Linked DNA regions of Coturnix japonica. The protein of the gene in region 3 interacts with the protein of the main gene of each other region in a pairwise test. Links are inferred from orthologs where the notes say so. Each region holds a gene or a part of one and is shown on either strand. Other genes may lie near its edges.

Region 1 (5,154 bases), on a different chromosome or scaffold from region 3:
CAGGGCTTTGCCTTATGATAAGATATCTATGTTGTGATATCTTGGCTGGACAGTCCAAGCCATTGCAGCTGCATCGCTCCTTCTGGTTTCACTCACGTCACAGCTTCATGGGTCATTAACTTTCCTGAAGCCACGAGTTCTGTGTGAAGTTAGAGCAGGTGTAGACATTTTGAGTCAATAAATGTGACAGTATTTGGGCACTAGTGTTGTCCCTGGAAGTGAAAAGAGTGGTGTAGCATGGCAGGATTGGGTCTTTAGGTTCCTAGAAGATGACTTCAGGTCTGTTAATATTGGAGCGAGGCAGGTTGGAAGGGGGTAAAGGGGAATTCACAGTGAAAATGCTGGGAGCTGCAGTCATGACAATTCATGGACTTCTTGGTGGTGGGATAGTAGATTGGTCATATATGAGCTGTGCTAGTTTAGTGTGAATTAGGTTGTCTGGCTTGACTTCTGGAGTTCCAAAATCAATAACACATTTAGAAAAGGCTTAAGCATGCCCTGAATCCACTGTCAGCAGTGATGATGACAGCAATGAATGACTACAGTGGAGCACAACAGGAAATACTCAGCAACAGAAGCAGAGAAAAAATGGTTTTGTCTTTGCTGGACCTGTTGCTAGGGTAGTTTTTTGCACTGGTTCCAGGGCACCCTCCTACTCTCTGTCATGGAGATGAGGTGGTATAATTTTATATCATTTCTCCCACAGTTTTCCCACTTGCTGACCTGTCTTCCTCTCTGTTTTTTCCATAGGCCATCATTCTGGTGCACTGGCTGCTCACAGTGTGGTGAGTGATTGGTAACTGGCCTGGCTTGAGAAGAGCTTCCTTCAAACTAGGAATGGGATGTTCTTGGGGAATCGGCACTCCCTGTTCACACCTGTGTGCAAGGAGATCCTAAGGCCAAGTGCCTGTATGGGAGCAGGGATAAATGCAAACACTGCTGCAGGCTCCTTGTGAACTTGGGTTGGGTTTTCTTTGTCTTGTTTGGCAGGGGATGCATGAATAACTCGTTTCCAGCCTCCTATGCTTGGGGGAATTTCAGTGTCCTTGCAGTGGGGATCTGGGCCATTGTGCAGCGAGATTCCCTTGATGCCATCGTGATGGTGAGTGTGAGGGCATTTGCCTTTACCTGGCTGCTCAGGGAGAGGGTGGAGGGCAGAAAGGTTCCTTTGAATCAGTATAGTGATGATCTTCAGCTGCTCCCAGTGCAACAGTGAACAAGTCAAACTCTTCATTTATTTATTCTTGTCTCCCCAAGGGAACCTGGCTTCTACTTAAGCACTATAAACTGTGGTGAGAAGCATTCACTATCCATTATTTTGCTTCTCAGGGGTAAGGCATACTTGGTTCTTATTTTCTGCCTGCTGTTGTCGCTTTCAATGCCAGAGGAGGATTCAGACTATTTAATATGCTTGAGTTAGAGATGTCTTTAGAGATTCCCTTCTCTGATCATTAAAGAAATTGGCAAGCATAAATAAACAACCCTGGAACATACTAGTAGAAAGCGTCCAGCAGATGTGAAGAAAATACATGATGTATGAGATCATACGATAATCTGTTTACCTTGGGGCTGTGTCAGGGGTCATACAGAGGTTTTGTGTTATACAGAGGTGAAAGCATAACTGTGTGAATGCTGATCTTCTAGTAGATAGAACCTATAACTGGCTGTTACTCCTGGTAGTTAATTCCTCATTCAATTCATGTCCTGTTCTCTCTTTCCAGTTCCTGTCCGGCCTGCTGTTCACAGTCCTCACAGACATCATTCACATCTCCGTCTACTACCCTTTACATGCTTATCTCATCGATGCGAAGCGTTTCAGTATGGGCATGGCCATCTTCAGCCTCCTCCTGAAACCCGGATCCTGCTACTTTGTGTATCGAATGTACCGGGAGCGTGGAGGAGAATACATCTTCAACATAGGTAGGTTGCTTCCTCTAGATCAGTGTGGGCCACATCCTCTGATGTTAGAGAAGGCTGCTAGGGAAGAATTGTACCCTTCAGCCTCAACCGTGTGCATCTGGATTCTGCCCCTCTTTCCAAGGAGAAGAGGATGACCTCTCTCTTCCTCGTGTCTGTTCTCACTTTTGTGCTCCTGCTGAGTCTTAGGCCTTAAATTTATATTCTTCCTCTCTTCCCTTGCAGACCTGGAGTCCTCGTCTGACAGCCGTTTTGCCTACAATGGTATTGATGCCACTGCTGTCACTCTTACTCAGTTAACTCAGGTTTTTCCTCTCTTCCTGCATTCTGTGCGCTTCTCAGAAGCCTTTGGGTGTCCTTCTCACTTTGTCAACCTTTTCCTTCTGTGGGGAAGTAAAGGCATCAATCCCTTCTACCTGGGAATTATGCATGTGAGGAAAGGGTGGGTTTCTAACTCTGTGTCCTAGCTATCTTAATTGTTGTGGACTGCTGTTTCCTTACCTGGGAAATGGGACTGACGTTTACCTTCTGCTGCTTTGTGTGGAGGCACTTGTTTTTCCTCCTGGCTGTAGTTGCTAGGAATAATGTGGCAGCCCTGCCAGAGAGAGGTGTTATAGTTGGGTATTCTGTCAGCTTCTTTGCCAAATATTCCTGGTGCTAGTTCATACTGGGGCAGCTGCCAGAGAGTGTTTGCTGTGTGGGAGTTCATCTTGGCAAAACCAGCAGCCTAGTGCAGTTGTCTTTTTCTTTCCTGAGGCTCTGTAGGACAAAGGGTGGTATAACTAGCACTGCAGTGTTTAAAAGCTGCCACTTAGACTGCGTTGGTGTTAGCAAAAAAGATGAGGCTTCTTGTGAAAAGAGGTGGATGCTTGTAGAGAAGGAGAGGCTGTCAGAGGAAAATGGTGGCTTCACAGTATAGTTTGCATCTTGTAATAGAAGAATGTGGATGTTCTCTCCATCAGCTGCTTGGGCAGATGCTGGCAGGTCTCTCTTAGCTGGCTCAGAAGGCCTGTGTGCCATGTCTGTGCCAGTTTTTATTAGCTGCTTACTCTACTTGTAACTCAGATTTGATATCTGTATCCTATAGAAAGTATAGGTGAGTATTCTCCCTTCTCCCCATGCTACTCCAGCACAGGCATGATGTCAGAATCTCTTCCCAGGCACAAGCTGGAATTCACTCACGTAGTATTTTCTTATCCTCTCCTGAAATGTCTTTCTCACAACATTCTCAGTACAAACCATGTGCTGTTGTTTTCTGTTGAACGTGGTTGACAATTTTTCTCTTTTCCTACTAACTGGCATTTTTCTTTTGAACTTAATTGTGATTTTCCAGGTCCTCTGTCTTGTCTTTCTTTTGAAACAAAAGCCCTCTTCACCACTGGGCAGCATCCTCACTGTGTAAAACAAGCCTGTTGTGGTAACGTGGCATGCCACTCAACTTTTGGTTTCTTCTAAGAGATTCCGGGTGGTTTTTTTTGTGCTCATTTTATTTTATTTTTATCAAGCTGGTTCTCTTCTTCTTCAGGTCTCAACCGTGCAGGCCGGGACCGCAGCGCCTATGAGACAATTGATCAGCAGGATGCCTCTCCACTGTGGCCTGACTCAAGCAAGACAGCTCAGCAACCATATTGAGGCCCCTGTCTGCAGCAGAATGGACACCTCCCTCCCCCAGTCCAGCCTTACACTCCTCCCGTGTCTATTCTGATGAAACAAGACCTTCTACTGAGCAAACAGAAGAGGATCTGATTTGACTTTTTCCTTCCTGAAGATTAGACAGAGGGGTTCTTGGAGTGAGTCCGGAAGATCTCAAGTGACTTTAAGCACTGTTTAAGCTGTTTAAGTGCTGTTTAAGCTGTTTGTAATTTCAACACACTGCTTTCCTCTCTCCCCTTGAATCCCTCCTATGTATGTGCAAGTGGATGCACCTTCTGCATTCTACTAAGTCTTGTATTGTGCATCCTCTCTATTCTAAGTAAGGGAGATGCACAGGATGTTCCTGGGCAAGCTATCTTTAACAAGCTTAAGGACTGCCCCTAAAACAACAGTTCAACCCGTTTTGTTGTTGATATGTTTCCAGGAAACATCTGGGACTTCTTCAGGGCTGTTTTTGATGGTGTTTTATAATTAAGATTTATGACCATAACTCCCTGTGCTAGCTGTGGTGGTTTACGTGCAGTTGGGGTTGGTATCAAGTGCTCCTACTGGGCCAGGGAGCATTCACTGATGCTTTTATGGAAGTAAAATGTTCTTCAGGATACTTAATGGCTGCTAAATGTTGATTACATATGTTCTGTGCCTTGAAATGTCCTTTTGCCTTCAGCTGCCTGTCTTAATAGGACTTAAGTGTTACACTTTTCTAAGAAAAACATAAAATGAACACAGTTCTTCTGTGTTAGAAAGAAAAATTACACTGGTCACCCATGTTTCATTTGAAAACACTGCTATTCCTGAGGCTCTGGGAGGGTTATTAGGGGGCAAGGTCTACAAGGCTTCAATGGCTCTGTTGTAAGCATTAAGCAAACATGTGGAAGGTACCGCATGGAGATGTGTTGGCAGTGAAGGTGAGTGAGTTAAAGGGCTAGGGAAGGGAAGAGGTGGGTTTGTGGTGAGCTCTGGAATGTGGCAAGCTATAAATGTAGATCTTATACACATTAAACCTGCCCTGCTGTGGCTTTCAGGGGGAAATCCTTACAAATAAATGTTCAGCAGGTTTTGTCAGAAGAAGGAAAGATTGTCAGCCTTGGCTGAAGAAAAATACAAGAGCTGGGAAGATGTGTGTTTTTCTGAAGCAGGTTCACTTTCAAGGTATGCATTTGTTATTTGAGAATTGCATTTCTCTGACAAGACCTGATGCTGTGTTGACTCTTCAATGACCAAAAGCCCTGTTAACTTTGCTCTACCCCTTAGGAACATACCATTTGTATCTTTAAAGGCAAGCATTTTTCTTTCAAGTTTTGTCACTCCAAACATTAGCAGATGCTTCGTTCCCTCTACAGCACCAGCATTACGATGGCCTGCTGCTGTGCCTGGACCAGTGTTGCTTATGCTTGGCTGAACACACAGTAGATGCTGCAGAGCTGCATTAATCTGATTTACTCTCCCATGATGAAGACTAGGTAGGCAGAGTTTGTTTTTTATCAAGTCGCAGGGTGGGTTTATCCAGTGTTTTACTGTTCTTGAGAACTGTGCAGTGACCTTATAGATCCCATGTTCAAACACTCAGGAGATAGGCAGCTT
Region 2 (4,502 bases), on a different chromosome or scaffold from region 3:
AGGCCAATAAAACTGACATTACTGTGTGGGAGTCTACTACAGGCCACCCAACCAGGATGAAGAGGTGGATAAAATACTTTATAGAGGGTTGGGTGAGATCTCACAGCCTCTATCCTGTGTTCTCATGGGTGACTTCAACTTCCCAGACATCTGCTGGATTTATAATACAGCAGATAGGGAACAGTCCTGGAAGTTCCTAGAGTGTGTGGGAGGTGATAACTTCCTGACACAGGTGGTGAAGGAGCCAACAAGGGGAAGCAAAATCCTGGACCTGCTGTTTGTTAACAGAGAAGGTCTTGTGGGGGATGTAAAGGTTGGAGGCCGTCTGGGGCAAAGTGATCATGAGATGGTAGATTTCTTGGTCCTTGTTGAAGTGCAGAGGGGAGTCAGCAGAACTGCCACCTTGGACTTCTGGAGGGTGGACTTTGGTCTCTTTTAGACCATGGTTGAGAAGGTCCCTTGGGAGGTAGTTCTTCAGGGCATGGGAATCCAGTAAGGCTGGGAATGCTTTAAGAAAGTAATTTTAAAATGTAGGAGCTGACAATCCCCAGGTCACAGAAGATGAGCAGTTTGCAAATGATACCAGGACCTTGGTGTGCTGATGGACAGGTGGCTGAATATGAGCCAGCAGTGTGCCCAGGTGGCCAAGAAGGCCAGTGGCATCCTGGCCTGTATCAGGAATGGTGTGGTGAGCAGGACTAGGGAAGTCATCCTGCCCCTGTACTCGGCATTGGTGAGGCCTCATCTCGAGTACTGTGTTCAGTTTTGGGCACCTCAGTACAAAAAGGACATGGAGGGGCTGGAGCAGGTCCAAAGAACGGCAACAAGGCTTGTGAAGGGCTTGGAGAATATGCCCTATCAGGACAGGCTGATGGTGCTGGGGCTGTTTAGTCTGAGGAAAAGGAGGCTGAGGGGAGACCTTATTGCTCTCTTCTAGTACCTGAAAGGTGCTCACAGTGAGATCAGGGCAGGTCTCTTCTCACTGGTGACAGGTGACAGGATGAGGGGAAATGGCCTCAAGTTGAGCCAGGGTAAGTTTAGGTTGGATATCAGGAAGAACTTCTTTACAGAAAGGGTTGTTAAGCACTGTAATAAGCTCCCCAGGGAGGTGGTTGAGTCACCATCCCTGGCTGTGTTTAAGAGCTGCTTGGATGTGGTGCTCAGGGATATGATTTAGTGGAGGGCTGTTAGTTAGGGTAGTGTGGTCAGGTTGTGGTTGGACTTGATGATCTTTGAGTTCTTTTCCAACCTGAGCAATTCTGTGATTCTATGATTCGATGTAGCTGATATATATATATTTTTTCATTGTATCCATTTTAATCCTGCTTTTGCTTGGTTGTAAGATGCAGGATGGTGTTTAAAGCAGATGCTTACATAAGATGCATTGATAGACTGTTCCAGGCACAGGAAGCAAGTAGGAAAAAGGAACTGAAACAAAAACTGAGATGAAATATTGCAGTATGACAGCAGTGTAATAATGAGGTGTATGTGTGTAGGAGTTGCAAAGAGGAGGCTGGAAGTTTACATTGAGTTTCAGAAGGCACTCAGGAATAACATCTGATTAGTAGACTATAAGAATACCAGCTGCTGGTAGAGTAACAAGGTCAGTCTTAACCAAGGTATCAAGGCTAATAAGCAGTAACAGAAGGTATGAACAACTGAGACCAAAGAAAGGAATTGTGGTTTCAGTGTGCTGTGTTGGCAGAAGCCTGGTGTAATCTGTATCTTTAATTAAAGATACGTGTAAGTGTATTCTGAAGTATTTACTTTGTATTTACAAATTTCATCCTATCATCTGCCATCTAATGAGGCTGATCAAAGAAGGGTTGGTCGCTCGTATGTTGTCTGTTTATTAAATGATGCGTTTGGAATGGGAGAATGATGATAAATTTGCTGTCAGTCATTCATATTCTCAATAAATTCTCTTTCTTTTCAGGACTTGGAAGAGTTTTGTTTCAGATTTTGCATAAACCACTTAACTGTTGTAACACAAACTCAAGGCTTTGCAGAGATGGACCACGATCTCCTGAAAAGCTTCATTAGCAAAGCAAGCAGAGTGGGAGCATTCCGAAATTGAGAGCTGCCCACCACCAAGCTGAAGAGCGCGGCCTCATTGCTCCTGGGAATACCTTCTCCACTGGAGGGCTTTGAAGAGAGACTCGGCGTCTGCTGGCTTGGGGAATGCCTTGAAGTCTGCTGACATACTGGTTTGAAAAGATGAGAGCAGCATAGGCGTGTAGGGAGAGCCAGCATTCAGAATCTGACAGCAAAATCTAACACAGTAACTACCCTTTCCCACTTTAAGTCAAGCAAACTAAGCTGTCATTACTGTGGCTATTTTGAGTATATTATTTTTATGTAAACAACCTGTAACTGGATTTTATGGAGCAGTGACAACCTTGCTGCTACAACTTTGATAGCACACTTCTATCACCAAACGAAGTTAATAGGCCATAGTGGGCTGCTTTGTGCCAGCTTATGCAGATTAGGGACGAACTTGGTTTCTGAGCACATGAAGAAGTGCTATAAATTCTTTAGGATGAGAGGCTGAGTGGTAGGAGGTTTTGTCTCACTGTATGTTTATTTGCAGTGTAAATACCAAAACTGTGAAGAGCTTCAGCTGGATATTAGAATATGAAGTTGCTGGCCATTATGGCCACTGTTTTGGACCATTAAGAAACCTCTCCGTTACACCAGACACGTTCCCTGGCATCCCAGTGGGATGGCAAACAGGATTTGTCCGGATGTGAATTGTGGCACTGTGTGTTTCAGCACTCAGAAAACCATCTCGTTGCTTATTAGAAGGAAAAAGAAACCTAAACAAAACCTCAAGGAAAGGGAAGTTCCACTGAGATTTGCTCATTGAATCCTGTTTCACTGCCTGTCCCCCAGTAGGCCATCTTATAAAAGTGGAAAAGAAGATAAGGTGATAAAATGGGCCTTAGAATTAACTCACAAATGCAGAACTCAGCTACTTCCCACATGGCAGTAAGGACAGCCTGCTGAGTGTGTTGTTTCAGGTTCTCCTTTGGCAGTGCTGCAGCACCTCTCCAGGTGACACCACCAGTTGTGTTCCGTGCCTGTGTCAGATGAGACGAGTTGTCTGCTGGCCATTGAGGCGGGTGGGATGGCTGAGGCGCAGTAGGTACTTAATTAATTTCTAACTGATTGACATGTGCTGAGATAAAATCCCACCTTGTGTTACACATATGAAGGGTTGCCCTCTTACAGAAGATGCTGAGCTTATGGAGCAGTTCCTTGGAACTTTAACAGTAAATTAACTCTGAGAAATGATTTCTCTTCACAGAGCAGGAGGGGCAGCTGTAAATGCCCACTGTGGTATTGTACAAAACTGGGTGGCCAGGTTCAGTGTGCTGGTCTATGTCATGCCACCTTCACTCAGGCTCATGCCCTGCTAGAGTCCTCTGGTGACTTATTCCAGGCTTCAAATGTGATTTCTAAGAACTTAATTCCCTTAAATGATCTCAGCCTCATTTCCTCCTTTCTGCAGTGGAAATTACTGTCCTTGGTCATATCAGAGAATTGTTTCTTAAGCTGTTGTATTCCTGGAGGAGAAGGAAGAGGAGAAACAGTTTCTCAGAGAAGAGGAGCAAGGAGTTGCTCTCGTCACATTGGTCTCTGCAGTGGTGATTGGATGGGTAAGGCGTGCACTAGGAATATGTTGTATGGCCTACTGCTAACGAGCTTATTTTGCCATCCCATGGTCATACAGCTTCCTCCAGCAGCACTGAACCTTACTTCAGTTGCTGTGTCAGTATTTCATCTTCAAATAGGACTGGTCAAAACTTTCTACTACATATTGCCATCTCATCAAAACCACAACTTCCCGGAGGGGAAAATGATGTGCTGTGGTAATCCCGTCTTTAAAAGTACTTGCTGCAGGCACACAGATGAGGCTGTTCTCAGGTGAGGCACAAGTTCACTGTGCTGTAGCCCAACACTAATAATATCCAGAGAGCAGATAAAAGGCAACACTGTGAGCCAAGGCTGGGGAGTTCCAACCTGTTTGATTGAGCCAGGGACAGCATGAAGTCTCAGTCCTTTGGGCCTGAGAACTGCCAGCATCACCTGCCAGCATGGCCTTGGCAGCACGCAGAATCAGGTGACACTGCTGCAGCCCTGCTTTTGGGTAGCAACTTGCATGGGCAGATAGTGATAGGACGAGGGGAAAACTAAAAGACGTTAGGTGTTAGGAACTTCAGTGTGTCTGACAAAGGTCGTCATCTTGAGAGAAGGCATCTCTGCACTGAACGAAGGTGACTGTGGGTGTATGATGGCAGCGTTGGCTGTCCCTCACGCCACACGTACCGTTGGTCCTGGATGTGATGGCATTGTATTCATAGAGACTGCTGTTTATTTATTTGCTAACTTTTGTTTGCATGCACTTTCCTTGGCACTTAATGGTCAATGTTTAAGAAACATACAGGCGTAAGTGGTTAAACGTGGCTGCGTGTGCGTAGATGTGCTTAAAACCTTCTTGT
Region 3 (4,502 bases):
TTCTGGTCAACTGGGGAGGTTCCAGATGACCGGAGTCTTGCCAGTATGACTCCCATCTATAACAAAGTTTGGGAGGGGGATCTGGGAAACTGCAGGGCTGTCAGCCTGACCTCAGTACTAGGGAAGGTTATGGAGTGTATCAGCTTAAGTGTGTTCACATGGCATGTGCAAGACAACCAGGAGGTCAGGCCTAGCCAACATGGTTTTATGAAAGGCAGGTACTGTCTGACCAAACTCATCTCCTTCTATGACTGTGTGACCTACATAGTGGGTCAAGGAAAGCCTGTGGACATAGTCTACATAGGCTTTAGTATAAAGCCTTTGACACAATCTCCCACAGCATTTTCATGGAGAAGCTGCTAGTGCTGATGCGGAAGAGTCAAGCCTGTCACACATGCACACATCCTTTTAGACTAAGTGTTTATTTATGAATTTGTTTAAATTTGAAAAAGCTGTGAGCCTTTGTGGAGCTGCTGGGCTCTCAACTTAGTTCAAAATCACTAGAATGATGCGTAAACATGGAGATGGCTCGTGACATTGGAAAAAAACTCACTTTAATAACTCAGTACCCTTGCCCTGTAAATGAAGAAGGTATGAATATTTCCTGATGGAAGTGTTGCATCATTAATATCTGTAACGCTCTTATGGATTAAATATTCTTGTCTTTTTGTGTTTAGAGCTGCATAAAAGAGACTTGTGTATGTGGGGGCAGCAGCTTTCTCCAGGGGAAGCATCCCAGGAGTAACCTGCATGGAGGTGTGATGCCAACGTGACAGGGCCTAGCAGCCCACTGCCCTGCTTTTCCCAGGTGCCTCAACAGAGGGAATTTTGATCCTCAAATGCTGGCAGTGATGTTAATGCCGCATGGACTTGGCTAGTCTGTCAGTCCATTTAAATATCTTGAATAGGAAATTCACATTTGCATATTTTGTTAAACAGTCAAGTTGGACATGAAATGCTAAGCTTGAAGGATAACAAAGAAAACATGTCTGTAGTGTTCTGCAGCCTTTCTCAATATCTGTCTGAAACTGTGGAACCAGAAAGTGCAGAGAGCAGCTTCATTGCCTATTGCAGTTCCTAAACCAAGTGATATGCCCTGTCTCACTGCTCATTCTGGTTGAAGTGTGATAGGTCAGTGACCTGTATATTTTGCATTGCTGATTACTTGTAGGCATTTCCATCTTGGCACTTAACATTTTTTCTTTTCTTAGGAAATAGGTGAACATTTTATCATTAATTTTTGATTTTGTGAGCTTAACCTCTTGAATTTTTTTCTTGTTTGTTTGTTGCAGCTGGTGCTCAAGATAAAATTGGCTGGGCTTTTGGCTTGGGCTTAGAGAGGCTGGCCATGATCCTGTATGATATTCCTGACATCCGACTGTTCTGGAGTGAAGATGAACGCTTCCTGAAGCAATTTATTGTACCTCATATTTCCCAAAAAATAAAATTCCAGGTAAATTAATATGTATGCAATAATTTTCTGTCAGTAAGAAGTGTGTGTGGGCCTAAAGAATATAATATAATTAAATATAATTAAAATTCTGGATCATTAACGTGTCAGGTTTCTCAACATAGCCTTTCAAACTATCACAGTTCTCTGATAATCTGATATTTATCCCCCTTGTGACGCAAGTGGTAGAAGTGCCGCTCTGCTACACAGAGGCTCGAATCCTGGGGGTTGGACTCGATGATCTCTAAGGTCCCTTCCAAACCGCACGAGACTATGATACTATGATACTATGATATGCAATAGAATCTGGCTTTTGATGATAACATGTTTTCAGCCAGGTAATGTTCTGAGTTACTGCTGATACTCCATGAATATCGTTGTTTTGAATAATACTTAAACATGTATTTAACTTTTAGATCTGTCCAGAGTAAGGACTGATACAGATGTGTGTCTGAATTGATTGTGTTCTTGAATTCTTTTCATAAAAACCTGTTTGATGCTGACGCTTCAACCATTATAGTATGTTTCTAATTTTCTCCTTAGTTCTCACTCTAAATTCATTGAATTTGATGTGAGTTGCATTGTTTAACAGTGATGAAATGCTTTCTGAACACGTACCGCCATCTTCAATACATTGGCTCTTTCCTCCAGCTGGTAGTGGTGGGTGAGAGTGTAGTGTCAACTTCTTTTGAAACTCCTCTTTTGAGACTTCACGTGCTTTTGTAGTTGGCAACTTATCTTATTTCTTGTAGTAGCAAAGTAGTCAAGCGTAAATGGATCAAGTGGAAATGCTACTTTCATAATATTCTTCAGTATCAGCACAGGAAGGCTTAAGTCAGCTGGGATCACTGGTCTTTGGGGGAGCTGAGCTGACAACTGTGTAGATGTCTGACAAAGTATGAATTAGTAGAGCATAAAAGCACTTATTACTGCTGCCTTTTACATTTTCCTTGGTTTGTTTGTGAGCAGCTTTATTATCATTTTTAAAAACTGAAAAGCTTAAAGGGAAAATCAACAGTGATAACGCTGAGGCAGTCATGTCAAACCAAAGATGCATCCATTTTTTTGTTCATGGCAGTTCTAGCACATCTTGAAAATAAGAAGTTGCATACAAACATATGAGATAACTTTACAGTAAGAGTGACAGAGCACTGGAAGAGGCTGCCCAGAGAGGTGGTGAAGTCTCCTTTTATGGAGATATATAAGATCCGTCTGGACACCTACTTGTGCAAAACAATGTATGGATAGATGTTTTTCTTTTCTTTTTGCTTTCTGTAGCACTATCATTAGGGCAGTCGGGTAGTGGTTACTGCTTACAGAAAGAAGACAGTTTTGCCACTTTTCCTAGTATTTTTCAGCCTGGCTGAACTGAACCAGTATGGATTGTATTTTCTGAGAGCCTTTTATTGCACAGATTTAATACTGCAGCCTCACAAGGTCTGGGTAAATGACCATCCTTCATGGACGTGCTACATGTGCTTAACTGTGATAGACTTCTCAACCTTTGGGTATTCCCCTACCTCTTTTTATAATCTGTGTGTTATCCACCAACTGGGGTATTTTTCTTTCTGTTCATTAAAATGTTCTTCAAACAGATTAAGACCATGGTGAGCAGCAGTCAGCTTAATAATAGCAGGGCTAAATATATTCTTGTTCTGAATGGAGTTTGATTTGAATTTTTTCTTGGGACATAAATGTATGTTTTGTGCCTTTAAGCAGCCTGAATGTGTCAAGCTTTTTCCTATGTCATCAGTTCCTCAACTGATGCATGTAGGCTTCAGTAGGTCAAAAAGCTACTGGGAAAGCTGACAGTGCTTGTACCATTGGGGTCAATCAGCACAGCAGTGCTAGAGTTCTGCTCCCCACAGATCAGCTTATGGTGTTGATTTCTATTACCTAAATCACTCCAGCTATAATTTGACAGAAGTCGCAGCAGCGTGTGGTTAGTTACTTGCCTTCAGTCACTCATGTGTAGGGCTTCTGTTCAGGCTGTGAAATGAAGAGCTAAGAATGGACAGGGCAGGAAAGACTAAGCACCTGCAAGGCGTAACATAGTAAAACAAATGGCTTGGATCTGATCTAGTACACTGTTATCTCTCTGCTCATCAGAGCTCTGAGCAGAGTTGCATGTAATCACTTTTTGGCCCATGTTGAACCTGCATTCTTAAAAGAAAAAGATATGTCCATGGGCTGACAACTTACAGGAAAAGGTACAAAAATGAAATGACATTTAAGGAAGGAAGACTCTCACAGTTGAGATGAAGTGCAGTGTACCCAGAGGTGTTGATTAAGATGAATGGGCTCTGGAGACAGGACAGTTCCTGGAACCTCCATCACTGCGCTGCCAGACCAAGCAAGCTGCACGGTGTGCCCACTGACTATTCTTCCCTCACAAATCACTTTCAGCTGATGCTCATGGTCTCTACTGCTGCTGCAGTTCTTTTAAATGAGTATTTTGATTGTAGATGAGTCTTGTAGCCCGGTCTCAGGTCTGACAGAAGTGTGTTTATGTTGTTATGAGGGAAGCACTGGTGCAAAGAGTATCTAATTCCAAGCTAAATGCAGACTCCCTAGGTGACATTATAAGGGTTCCTTTCTTCTCATTTTCTTTGTTTCTGCAATATCTACAATAACCCTTGCACCACCTACTTCTTAGCACTCTTATCAACTCAGGGATCTGCTACTTCCTTGTATCTGCTGGCACATGCAGTCTCCCAAAATCAGTTTCTTCCAAACAGTGTTAGCTTCTACTTGTAGCAGACTTTCTAACCACGATCATTTTAATAGAGACTGGATAGATGTAACTCCTAGAGAAGGGAAGAAGCATCTCCATTATGAGGAAAGGATGAGTAACCTGGGGCTGTTCAGCCTCGAGAAGAGAGAACTGAGAGGGGCTCTTGTCACTATTTATAAATATTTGAAGTGTGAGAGTCAGGTCCAATGGGAAGGATTCTTTTCAGTGGCAAGCAGCAGTGGAAGAAGGGGCAATGGGCACAAACTGGGACACAGGAATCTCCAGACTGACACAAGGAAGAACTCGTCTTCGCTGTGA
Region 4 (5,199 bases), on a different chromosome or scaffold from region 3:
CAGCTCTTTCACCCAAGTGCAGCAGTATATCACCACCTTAGACATTTTGCTGCACAGGTCGACCTTTCAAATATGTTTTGAACATTAATTACAGAGATTACATTCAAAGCCAACTACAAAATGGTGAAGGTTTGGTTTTTGTTTTTTTGTTTTTTGCAAGTGTACATTAATACTTTCAACATAATTTATTTCAAAGCACAACTGAACACAGTTCGCTATTCCTTGGTAAGTGAAAGCTACTTTGATTAAGTGAACACACATAAATTCAAGGTAAATCCAAGGGTATCAGAAGAAACAGTACGCTAGTTAACAGATAACATGCAAATAAATCCTACCTGATCCAGACGGCTAATTCCACTCTCCAGCAGAGCCAAAGTTCTCTCCATTAGGGGGACACATCTTTAATCCTTGTAGGCTGCTCTTCTCCCTGTTTATATAATGCCAGCCATTAGTTCTCCACACTTACACTGCCCCTCAGTATTTTGTACAAACAAAGTCATCCACACTAAGAAAGTTTACAATTCTTATAGAAGTGTAACACTAAAAACATTCCCATTAGTGGATTCTTATGAATTCCTCAGTTTGTTGCTATCCAACCTCCTCCACTGCAGCCAAACATATATCCCAAATAAAACTTCTAAATGCCTTGTGTATCTTCTCACAAATATCATAACATACAAGGCTACTGGGACATCACTGACTGTTTCCATGTAAGGAACCTATTTAGAAACCTAACTATGAACTAGAAGAAGCCCTGGTATATTAGAGAACAACCAGAAAGGGCTCTCTCTTGCTACTAAAATGAACTGAAACATTAAGATAAATGGAAATACGAACACTACACGCCAATTGAGATACCAAAGCACATTCTGACATGTTAAAAACTTGTCTGTTACTATTTTGTTTTGATATAGAATCACAGAATGGTTTGGGTTGGAAGGGATTTTTAAGCTCATCTAGTTCCAACCCCCTGCTATGGGCAGGGACACCTCCCTCTAGAACAGGTCACTCAAAGGCCTTTGAACACCTCCAATGAAGGAACATCCACAACCTCCCTGGGCAGCCTGCTCCATTTCTGCACAAGTTTCAGTTTTTTAAGTGCTTTTCTTCCCATTCTATATGAGCTCAATAAATGCATCTTTCCTGTCATTTGCAGCTGTAAAACTGCAAAGGTGATTAGAAATAATTACGTTTAGAGTTCTTTACTACCTTTCTGAGTTCTGCTAGGGGAATGACACTAACATATACTACAAAATAGAGAGCAATTCTTACAGAAGACTGCTGTGAGAAACTGGTCAACAGTTCACAGAATCACAGAATTACCAAGGTTGGAAAAGACCTAGAAGATCATCTAGTCCAACCATTACCAAGTTCACTGATATCAAAACTAGAAAGTTGTGCAGGTGTATGTAGGTCACGAGCCAACGCTGGCATTGCCTGCTCATACTCATGGATCCAGTTAGAGCACAGTAAGCAAATGACCAAGATACAAGGCTTAGCCTTTAAACCTAGTAAGATAACTCTATATACATCTCTCCAAATCACAAAGCTGTAAGAATGGCAATTCAGGAGCGGTTATTTCCCCCTCAGTGTAACAGCACACACCGACCTGGCTCAGCCTAACGAGCTGCCACAGCAGGAGCGGTTGGGATGTCCACAACCTGACAGGACGTTGTGGCGACACACAGGTAAGTGGTGGCACACAGGTAAGCACCATCCCGAGGTAAGTGCCAACCCAAGGTAAACGCCATCCTGAGGCACGGCGCCCATCGCGCGGGCTCAACCCGAACCACACGACACCTCCCTTCAGACAGCCACCGAGGCGGGCACAGAGCCCACGGTATGTAGACAGACTGAAGGCCCCGCTGAGCAATAAGAAGCCGGGCAGCTGGGCTATGGAGCCAATAGTAAAGGCAGGCGGGCGGCAGGAGGGAGGGACATCCTGCTCGGGGCGGGGACAAGTGTTTGCTGCCGGGGGGGCCCGTCCAGCTGGGCGAGCTGAGGGAGCGGGAGCAGCAGCGGCGCAGATCGGATCCCTGCTGCCGCCATGCCCGGCATCGACAAGCTGCCCATCGAGGAGACGCTGGAGGACAGCCCGCAGGTGGGTCAGGCGAGGAGCGGCTCCATGACGGGAGGACAGATCGGGCTCGACTCGGGGCTGCCAGGCCTAGCGCGGAGGCCCGGCCTTGTTTTGCTGCATAGTTTATGCAGATGAGCAGCAGTTCCAATGCTGTAATAGCATATTCAGTGGTAGCTTTGATTGCTCGAGCATTGAAACTTTATTTACTAAACAGAGGATTTTAATCCCTATAATAGCGGTGACAACAAATCTAGATCAATGGAGGGACAGCTTGGAAGAGAAGGCTGTGTAAGAGGTGTATCATTGCTTTCCATAAGGCAGTGTCCCATATAGCCCCGATACCAGATGTTAGACAAGATCTGGTTTGCTGCACAGACTGTGGCCTAGAGACTTGACCTGATCTGGACAGGTTTTCAGGGCTGAACTGTGCACTGGAATTCAGTACCATTAGACATGTTTGAGATGCTGACTTCACTTATATAAACTCCAAATCAGACTTACTCTGCAACCAAGCTAAGATCTCTTAAAGGGTGAATAAACCATTGATTTCCTTTTGGTGCGGGGTAGAAATCAAACCACTGTCTATTTTCAGAAATAAACCAAGTGACACTTTATGTTGCCTTTGATAAGCAAGGCAGCACAGTTTAGTTGTACACACATTCAGTGTGCAGATATATGTGTTTAGAGAGTTGCTGCTCTCTTATTTCCAAACTATTGCACCACAAAAAACCCACAGGACTCAATGGCACAGGCTCCATCTCACGTCTCTTTCAATACAATACGTGTGATGACATGAATTGTTTAACAGCTCACTGACTTTCAAACAGGTGGTTTCCTTGTGCAGTTTTGTACTGGTAGCTTCTGGTGTAGCAGCTGATCCATGTGTGATAAAACATCGTAAGGAGCATTAGAGCTCCTCAGTTTTTCACTGGAAATGTGAGTGAACAGTTCCTCCATTTTTTTGTTCAGCAATATCTGTCAGAACTTCTCAATTTCAGTTTTCTTTCCATCGCTATAATTACACTGTCAGTTTGAAGTCAATAACTGATATTTTAATGATAAAACCCATAGAAATGCTTTTACTCCACAGGGTTCTGTATTACGGAGTATTAGAGAGTAAGTATAATCCGGAAATCAAACACGATAACACTTTCAAATTGCAGGGTCAGGTTTGTTAGTGCTTGGTTTAAAGGTCATGAGTATATAAGTCAGTCTTTATGGTATTTTTTTCTGCTGCATTCTTTCATATCTGAAGACTCACAGCTATTAGGATGATGCAACACATTGCCACACCTGACAACCATCCGAGCTCTCCACCTCTTTCCTCCTCCACCCAACACTTCTTCCAGTTGTTTTGTAAACAAGAACCATCATTAAAGTGATTTGCTGTGTTGGTAATGCTGTTTGCTTATTCTTTCCCCTTAGGTGTCCTGTAGGAGTTATATGGTATGATCACATCTGTGGGACAACCACTCATCAATTTCAATTAAATAAGAGGCTTTCATGGTCAAGTGATCAAATAACACACTTGATAAGTGTTTATACAAGGGCAGATGGACTACATTCTAAGGCACATTTCAAGGTTTTATTACCGTGTTTTGTATGCAGTGCAATCCAGTGCTTTACGCTGGTCTCACCAGAGAGATTTTCCTGATATCATGCATTGCTCTCTTATTTTCTTCCCAAGCCCCGTAAGTTGCATCCATTCCCAGTCAGGGAAGCTACAGGTACTCAGCTTGAGGAAGGCTAAGAAAGAGAATTAACAAGTGCTTAAAACTGACAATTTGTGGGTTAAAAACATCTGTTATGTCATCACAATTCTCTTCATTTTCTGTCTGCACATTAATTTTAGTATGGGCCTAAAAATGCACGGTCTTCTTGCCAGTAATTTAAGAGTTAAAGGTTTATTTTGTGGGTTTTGCAAGTGATTGGCCTTGCATCCAAACATCACAACCAATATTTAGTGCAATACTACACAGTGTTTCTTAGGAAGAGCAACTGTAGCTCATGCAGAGTTACAGCTACATTCTCTGTTCTTTCCCCTTTTGCCAAGCTATCTGATAACCTTATGGTTAGGAGTAAAACTGCTTCCAGATGCAGAGATGAAAGAGCACTGAGTGAGCATTTTAATTCCTCTTAAGGGCAAATTCTCCCTAAGCAACTTGATTGTCTTCTTGTTTAGCCAGTCATTTCATCAAGAACGTCATTCATGCCAACTTACCAGAGGATTCTGATCTGTCTCCAGTAATTTCCTTCTGGCCAAAGCAGGGAGGTACAGACTGCAACTGGGTAGAAAAAAACAGCGGAACAGTTAGCCCTAAAAGTTGGTGATCGGTGTTTTGAACTCCAGTATGTGGACAGCAGTAAAGACAGCAACCACTTCTAAAGTTACACAGGAGGTGCATTTGTGGGTGGCACCAGTGAAGGGCAGGCTGACTGATGGGCTGGGGACAGCAGACAAAGAACACAGCTCACTGGCAGGTGGGGCAGAGAAGTGTGTATATTAAGAAAATGTAGATTCTATCAGTTTGATTTGGTTACTTTCAGTTCTTCAGCTTTTTGAGCACAGAATTGGCTGCTATTGCAGACATGAGTTACATAGCCCAGCACAGCCAGCAACTACTCATACAGAAGAAGGAGTGCTAGAAAGCCACAGCTGTTCTTTCTCAGAAGAAATGTGTACCTGGCATGCTGCTTAATTCCAGTCAGTTTTCCTTGGGGATATACCATAATGATATACCAGTAGTAGCTCACAGTTCCAACGCTTATAATTTATACTTATCCACATCTCTTGGTGCTGTCTGACTACATACTCCTTTAACCTGGAGAGAGGCTGAGCAAGACTGAGCTTGGATGTAGTTTTAAAATACATTCTGTTTTTTTTCTAATTCTGTGATACACAGCACATAGCAGTGGATGCTGTGACAGTGGCTTTATAAACTTCAGAAAGGAGATCTGCAGCACTGCTGCTTAACTTGGAAATTCTCTTGCATTTAAATAGTTCTTTGCTAACATGACACATTGTTCTGATTCACTGTTACAGACCCGTTCCTTGCTGGGAGTGTTTGAAGAAGATGCTGCTGCAATTTCCAACTACGTCAATCAGTTATTTCAAGCAA
Region 5 (4,502 bases), on a different chromosome or scaffold from region 3:
ATGCAGTCCTGGAGGAAAACAAAGGTTAACGTGTGTATGGCCGACAGGGCCAAAGCAAAGGAGGGAGCTCAGAGGAGAGGATGCTGTGCTCTGCCCTGAGCATCGCAGCAAAGCAGCGGGGTGAACTCTGTCTGCTGGGCGGTTTGTGGCACTATGGAGCCTGCAATAAGATTGCTGCAGCATTTATGATACACGAAGGTCCCATTACTTAATGTCATGAGCCCCCTGAGCAGGAGAAGCTCGAGCTGTGTGGGGTAAGGAGGGCAGGCAGAGTGCTATTGGTGTTTACTGCTGGGGAGCAGGCAGAGCTGAGTTAACAGGAGGGGGTGCAGAGAGGTGAGAGATGCTGCGCGCCCTCTGCAGTTTGCATCTGGGATCTGTGAGCTCCTGGGTGATGTCTGCCTTCTTTCTTGGGGTAGAGGTGAGCAAAGACAAGGCAAGCAATGGGTGCAGAGGGGACACAACATGCAGCTTCTTCCGGGATTTTTCTTCCTGAACTTGTGGACTGAATTGGAAAGCAAAAGCTGGAAGCCATTGAGGGCTCCCGGAGGGGTGGCTCTGGGACTCCATACACACCTCCCACCCTTTGGGTACCAGCACTGACATCCCATGGGCAGATTACCTCACAGGTGTCCCCTGTACCACAAATTTCAGTGACCCCCCCCACCCCCATCCTTCCCTTTCTATGCATCCTTGGCCGCAGTTTGCGTTTTCCACCGTGGATCATCCCCAGCAGCCGCAGTGCGGGGCTCCCCCAGCCTCTTCCCACCTAATTAAACGCTGCCTCTCATTTGCAGGAGATGTTTCCGGGCTGGTGCCGAGCCTGTGCACTCACATGCTAATTCTGAGCAGGCTCCTCCTGCGTGTTCCTGCACCGCAGGGAAGCAGCGGGGCTGGCTAATTGATTGCAGTTTCACCAGCGGCACGGGCTGCTCGCCTCTAATACAGAGCAGACCCGGAGGAAGCCCACCACCGTGCCCCTCCTCATTAATTAGTCCTTGCTACCGCACACAGCCGTGCTGAAGCTGGAAGAAAGCATGCGGTTTCTCTTGTTAGCACCCGGCGGGCTGTTATTCTCTTCCACGTGCAAGCTTGCATTTTGGGGACGCTCAGGCAGTGGCTTGAAAGGAGCTCAGTGCAAGCCTGGAGCTGCTTTTCCCCCAGCTGGAACTGATTAGGGCATCTTTGGCTCGAGGACAGCTGAGAGCCAGGAGTGTGCAGCCTGTCATTTGGCTGTTCTTCCTTCCCTGCTCCTAGAAGTGGGCAGCTGGGAGTGTTAGACTTCGGGAACCACTTTGCTCTGTTCCTGGGTTGCAATTTGCCTCTTGTCCTTCACCAGGATGAGGAGGGGATGTGCAGCCACCGGGGAAGGTGTTCATAGCCTGGCTTTGCCCTCGCAGGCATGGGAAAGCAGCACGGCCCCTGGTTGCTTGCTTTTAGCAGCATGGAATCATGTGGTTTCTCCCATTTTTGTTCTTGGCTGCACTGTTCGAGTCGTCCTTCCTGGCTGGAGAGGCCCCTCCTTGTGCTCCCAGTGCATCTCCCATCCTACAGAATTCCCTCACACTGGTACCAGCTGGGGGCCAAACTGGGGAGCATTGGGGTGCCCAGAATCATTCAGGTTGGAAGAGCCTTTTCAGATCCCCAGCCCACCCCACTGTGCCCATCCCCATGTCCCTCAGTGCCACGTCCCCACAGCTCTGGGACACCTCATGGGGACCCCACCAATCACTGGGCAGCCGTGCTGTGCATCACTGCCCTTTGGAGTCTTACCTAACACCCAACCTGACCATCTCCTGTTGTAACTTAATGCCATCACGTCTTATCCTTTCACAGCTATCTAGGAACAACTATGAGACTGACACCTCTGCGTAACCCCAATGCTCCCTAGGCAGCTGTGCTGTGCATCGCTGCTCTTTTGGAGCCACAAAGCTGTGCAGGTTCCCTCCATCACCAGCAGGTGTTGGTGACCTCTCGCTGGGAAGGAGCTGCCTAGCTTTGTTTCTCACCCTTCAACTCTGCTCTCCCCCTGGCAGGTCACAGACCAGCTTTCCGGGGTTTTGACACTGGATTGGGATCGTTTTAACTAAAGATGGAAACACTGGAGTCCGAATTGACCTGCCCAATCTGCCTGGAGTTATTCGAAGACCCTCTGCTTCTACCCTGCGCCCACAGCCTGTGCTTCAGCTGCGCCCACCGCATCCTGCTGTCCAGCTGCTCTTCCGGTGAGAGCATCGAGCCCCTCAGCGCCTTCCAGTGCCCCACGTGCCGCTATGTCATCTCCCTCAACCACCGCGGCCTGGAGGGCCTCAAGAGGAATGTGACCCTGCAGAACATCATCGACCGCTTCCAGAAGGCGTCACTCAGCGGCCCCAACTCCCCCAACGAGAGCCGCCGCGATCGGCCCTACCGCCCCAACCCCACCATGTCGGTGGGAGGCGAGAGGATTGCCTGCCAGTTCTGTGAGCAGGACCCTCCGCGGGATGCTGTCAAGACGTGCATCACCTGCGAGGTGTCCTATTGCGACCGCTGCCTGCGGGCCACGCACCCCAACAAGAAGCCCTTCACCAGCCACCGCTTGGTGGAACCCGTGCCCGACGCACACTTCCGTGGTCTGACCTGCCTGGAGCATGAGAATGAGAAGGTGAACATGTACTGCGTGGCTGACGACCAGCTCATCTGTGCCTTATGTAAACTGGTGGGGAGGCACCGGGATCATCAAGTGGCATCGCTCAGCGATCGCTTTGAGAAGCTCAAGGTAAGGGGTTGTGGTGGCTGGGGTGTGCTGCGGGGACCAGCGTGGTGTCTCTGAGGTGGGGGATGGAGCTCGTGGGCTCCTCCAGGTTATGTGTTTCCAGGGCTGCTTTGCTGGTGAGAAGCTCTGCTGCTCATCAGCTTCCTTGGATGTGGATGGAGAGATTGGGGAGTGCACCCATGCTCAGCAAATGGCTTGGAAATAGGAGTGCTCTGTTAGAGTCACTGGCCTGAAAAAGGATTTGGCTTAGCAGTAGGTTCCCCACGGCCAAACTTTATGCTTAGGTGAGAGGTGAGATGGAGCTCAGAGGATCCTCATTGCGAGAAAGATACTGAGGCATTGGAGTGTGCCCAGAGAAAGGCAATGGTCTGGAGCACCAGCCCTATGGGGATGAGCTGAGGGAGTGGGACACCTGGCAATGGGCGTGCCACCCCCAGCACAGTGCCGTCCCAGCAGTGTCACTATGCTGCATTCCCCATCCTCATACCCACAAGCTGCAGAAAGGAGCGGTAGTTTTCCAGCCCCCTTCACTCCACCCTGTGCCTCCTATTGATCCAGAGTGAATCCCTGCTCCGTGCTCACAGAGAGCAAACTTCAGGCAGCCCTCTGGGGTGCTCCAAGCTTCATTTCTATGCAGCGCCTGTGCCGGGGCTGAATACCATGTGAACCCGTGTGGATGATGTTTGACCTATATAAAGTTAGAAATCCCTCTCTGTCCCCCACACATCCGCTGTGAGTCTACAAAATGCTGTAAATTCTCTCTGTCTTTTCTTCTTTATATAAAAACCAACAGAGCTGGTCCCATCCGGGGTCACAGCAATGGGGCTGTGCCTGCGGTTGTGTTCCAGTTGCAGCCTTTCTCCAGCACTTCTTCCTCAGTCCCTTCTCCCATGATGTTCTGGGCTTGTGCAGCCCCACAAGTGCTTTTCTTGTCTCATTCCCTCTTTAATCCCTCAGACAACATCGATTTTTCTGCTCTCGTGTTTCCTGAGGGCAAAAGAAATACTTCCATCACTTGCAAAAATGGAGATGATTTCTTCCTTGCGCTCCGGGTTGATTAGAAAAGGGAAGAACAAAGCTTTCTCTCCAGGCATCTGTCTTCCTAGATGGAGAGTTTCCCACGAGCTGCTTCCCGGGCAGGTTTCCCACCTGCCCTTCCCAGATCCTCCCAGTCCTGTGCTGGTGACACAGCCCCGCGGTGTGCCTCACCTCCGTGTCCCCCTCTCTGCGCCAGCGCAGTGTTCTTCCCTTCAGAACATTCTTTTTCCATGAGGAAATGTCTCAATTAGCAAATTGGAAACCTTAGAAAGGAAGGTCCGTGACTGTTTGCGTGCAATAGGACCCTGGGACAGGACTTAAAGCCCTTTTCATATTTCCCCATCGTGTCGGGGAGCCAAGCAGGCTCATGTGAAGGCAAAAGCCCTGACAAACTAAGCTGCCGCTCCAACCAAATCTGTGTGTGCTGCCAGAACAACTCCCCCCTCCCCATGTTTAAATAACAGTCCTAAGTGATTTTGGATGAGGAGGGAAGCTCTCTTCTGCTATAAACATTCCCCTGTGCTGCTCATCCAGCACGGGCGGATTCCTTGCTCTCTGGCAGAGCTTTGCAGGCACAGTGCTCCAGCAGCCTCCTGTTCCCCCTTTCCCTCTTGCAGGTGGGAATTGCCAAGGTAAGGAGTATTTGGGGATGGACATAATATATGAGCATCTGGCCAGGGCTGCAGGATGACTGCAGGGTAACCCTCCT

The links.
Region 1: the proteins of FARS2 (region 3) and AGTRAP interact in binary tests that used the Homo sapiens proteins (3 or more experiments, as listed by UniProt). The two-hybrid records come from large-scale screens. The link is inferred for Coturnix japonica from reciprocal best matches to the Homo sapiens genes FARS2 and AGTRAP.
Region 2: the proteins of FARS2 (region 3) and RCC1 and BTB domain-containing protein 2 interact in binary tests that used the Homo sapiens proteins (3 or more experiments, as listed by UniProt). The two-hybrid records come from large-scale screens. The link is inferred for Coturnix japonica from reciprocal best matches to the Homo sapiens genes FARS2 and RCBTB2.
Region 4: the proteins of FARS2 (region 3) and APPL1 interact in binary tests that used the Homo sapiens proteins (3 or more experiments, as listed by UniProt). The two-hybrid records come from large-scale screens. The link is inferred for Coturnix japonica from reciprocal best matches to the Homo sapiens genes FARS2 and APPL1.
Region 5: the proteins of FARS2 (region 3) and MID2 interact in binary tests that used the Homo sapiens proteins (3 or more experiments, as listed by UniProt). The two-hybrid records come from large-scale screens. The link is inferred for Coturnix japonica from reciprocal best matches to the Homo sapiens genes FARS2 and MID2.

The regions. Positions count from the first base shown.
Region 1 is NC_029536.1:4,899,154-4,904,307, reverse strand, and holds the end of AGTRAP (type-1 angiotensin II receptor-associated protein), read left to right. Parts: intron 1-750; coding exon 751-785; intron 786-990; coding exon 991-1,102; intron 1,103-1,721; coding exon 1,722-1,920; intron 1,921-2,142; coding exon 2,143-2,181; intron 2,182-3,442; coding exon 3,443-3,549; 3' UTR 3,550-4,179; downstream 4,180-5,154. UniProt on the Homo sapiens protein: Appears to be a negative regulator of type-1 angiotensin II receptor-mediated signaling by regulating receptor internalization as well as mechanism of receptor desensitization such as phosphorylation.
Region 2 is NC_029516.1:151,086,207-151,090,708, reverse strand, and holds part of RCC1 and BTB domain-containing protein 2, read left to right. Parts: intron 1-1,936; coding exon 1,937-2,077; 3' UTR 2,078-4,502.
Region 3 is NC_029517.1:64,081,348-64,085,849, forward strand, and holds part of FARS2 (phenylalanine--tRNA ligase, mitochondrial), read left to right. Parts: intron 1-1,292; coding exon 1,293-1,453; intron 1,454-4,502. UniProt on the Homo sapiens protein: Is responsible for the charging of tRNA(Phe) with phenylalanine in mitochondrial translation.
Region 4 is NC_029527.1:6,321,721-6,326,919, forward strand, and holds the start of APPL1 (DCC-interacting protein 13-alpha), read left to right. Parts: upstream 1-1,956; 5' UTR 1,957-2,047; coding exon 2,048-2,101; exon of another isoform or gene 2,102-4,365; intron 4,366-5,123; coding exon 5,124-5,199. UniProt on the Homo sapiens protein: Multifunctional adapter protein that binds to various membrane receptors, nuclear factors and signaling proteins to regulate many processes, such as cell proliferation, immune response, endosomal trafficking and cell metabolism.
Region 5 is NC_029519.1:1,714,817-1,719,318, reverse strand, and holds part of MID2 (probable E3 ubiquitin-protein ligase MID2), read left to right. Parts: intron 1-2,036; 5' UTR 2,037-2,092; coding exon 2,093-2,758; intron 2,759-4,502. UniProt on the Homo sapiens protein: E3 ubiquitin ligase that plays a role in microtubule stabilization. Mediates the 'Lys-48'-linked polyubiquitination of LRRK2 to drive its localization to microtubules and its proteasomal degradation in neurons.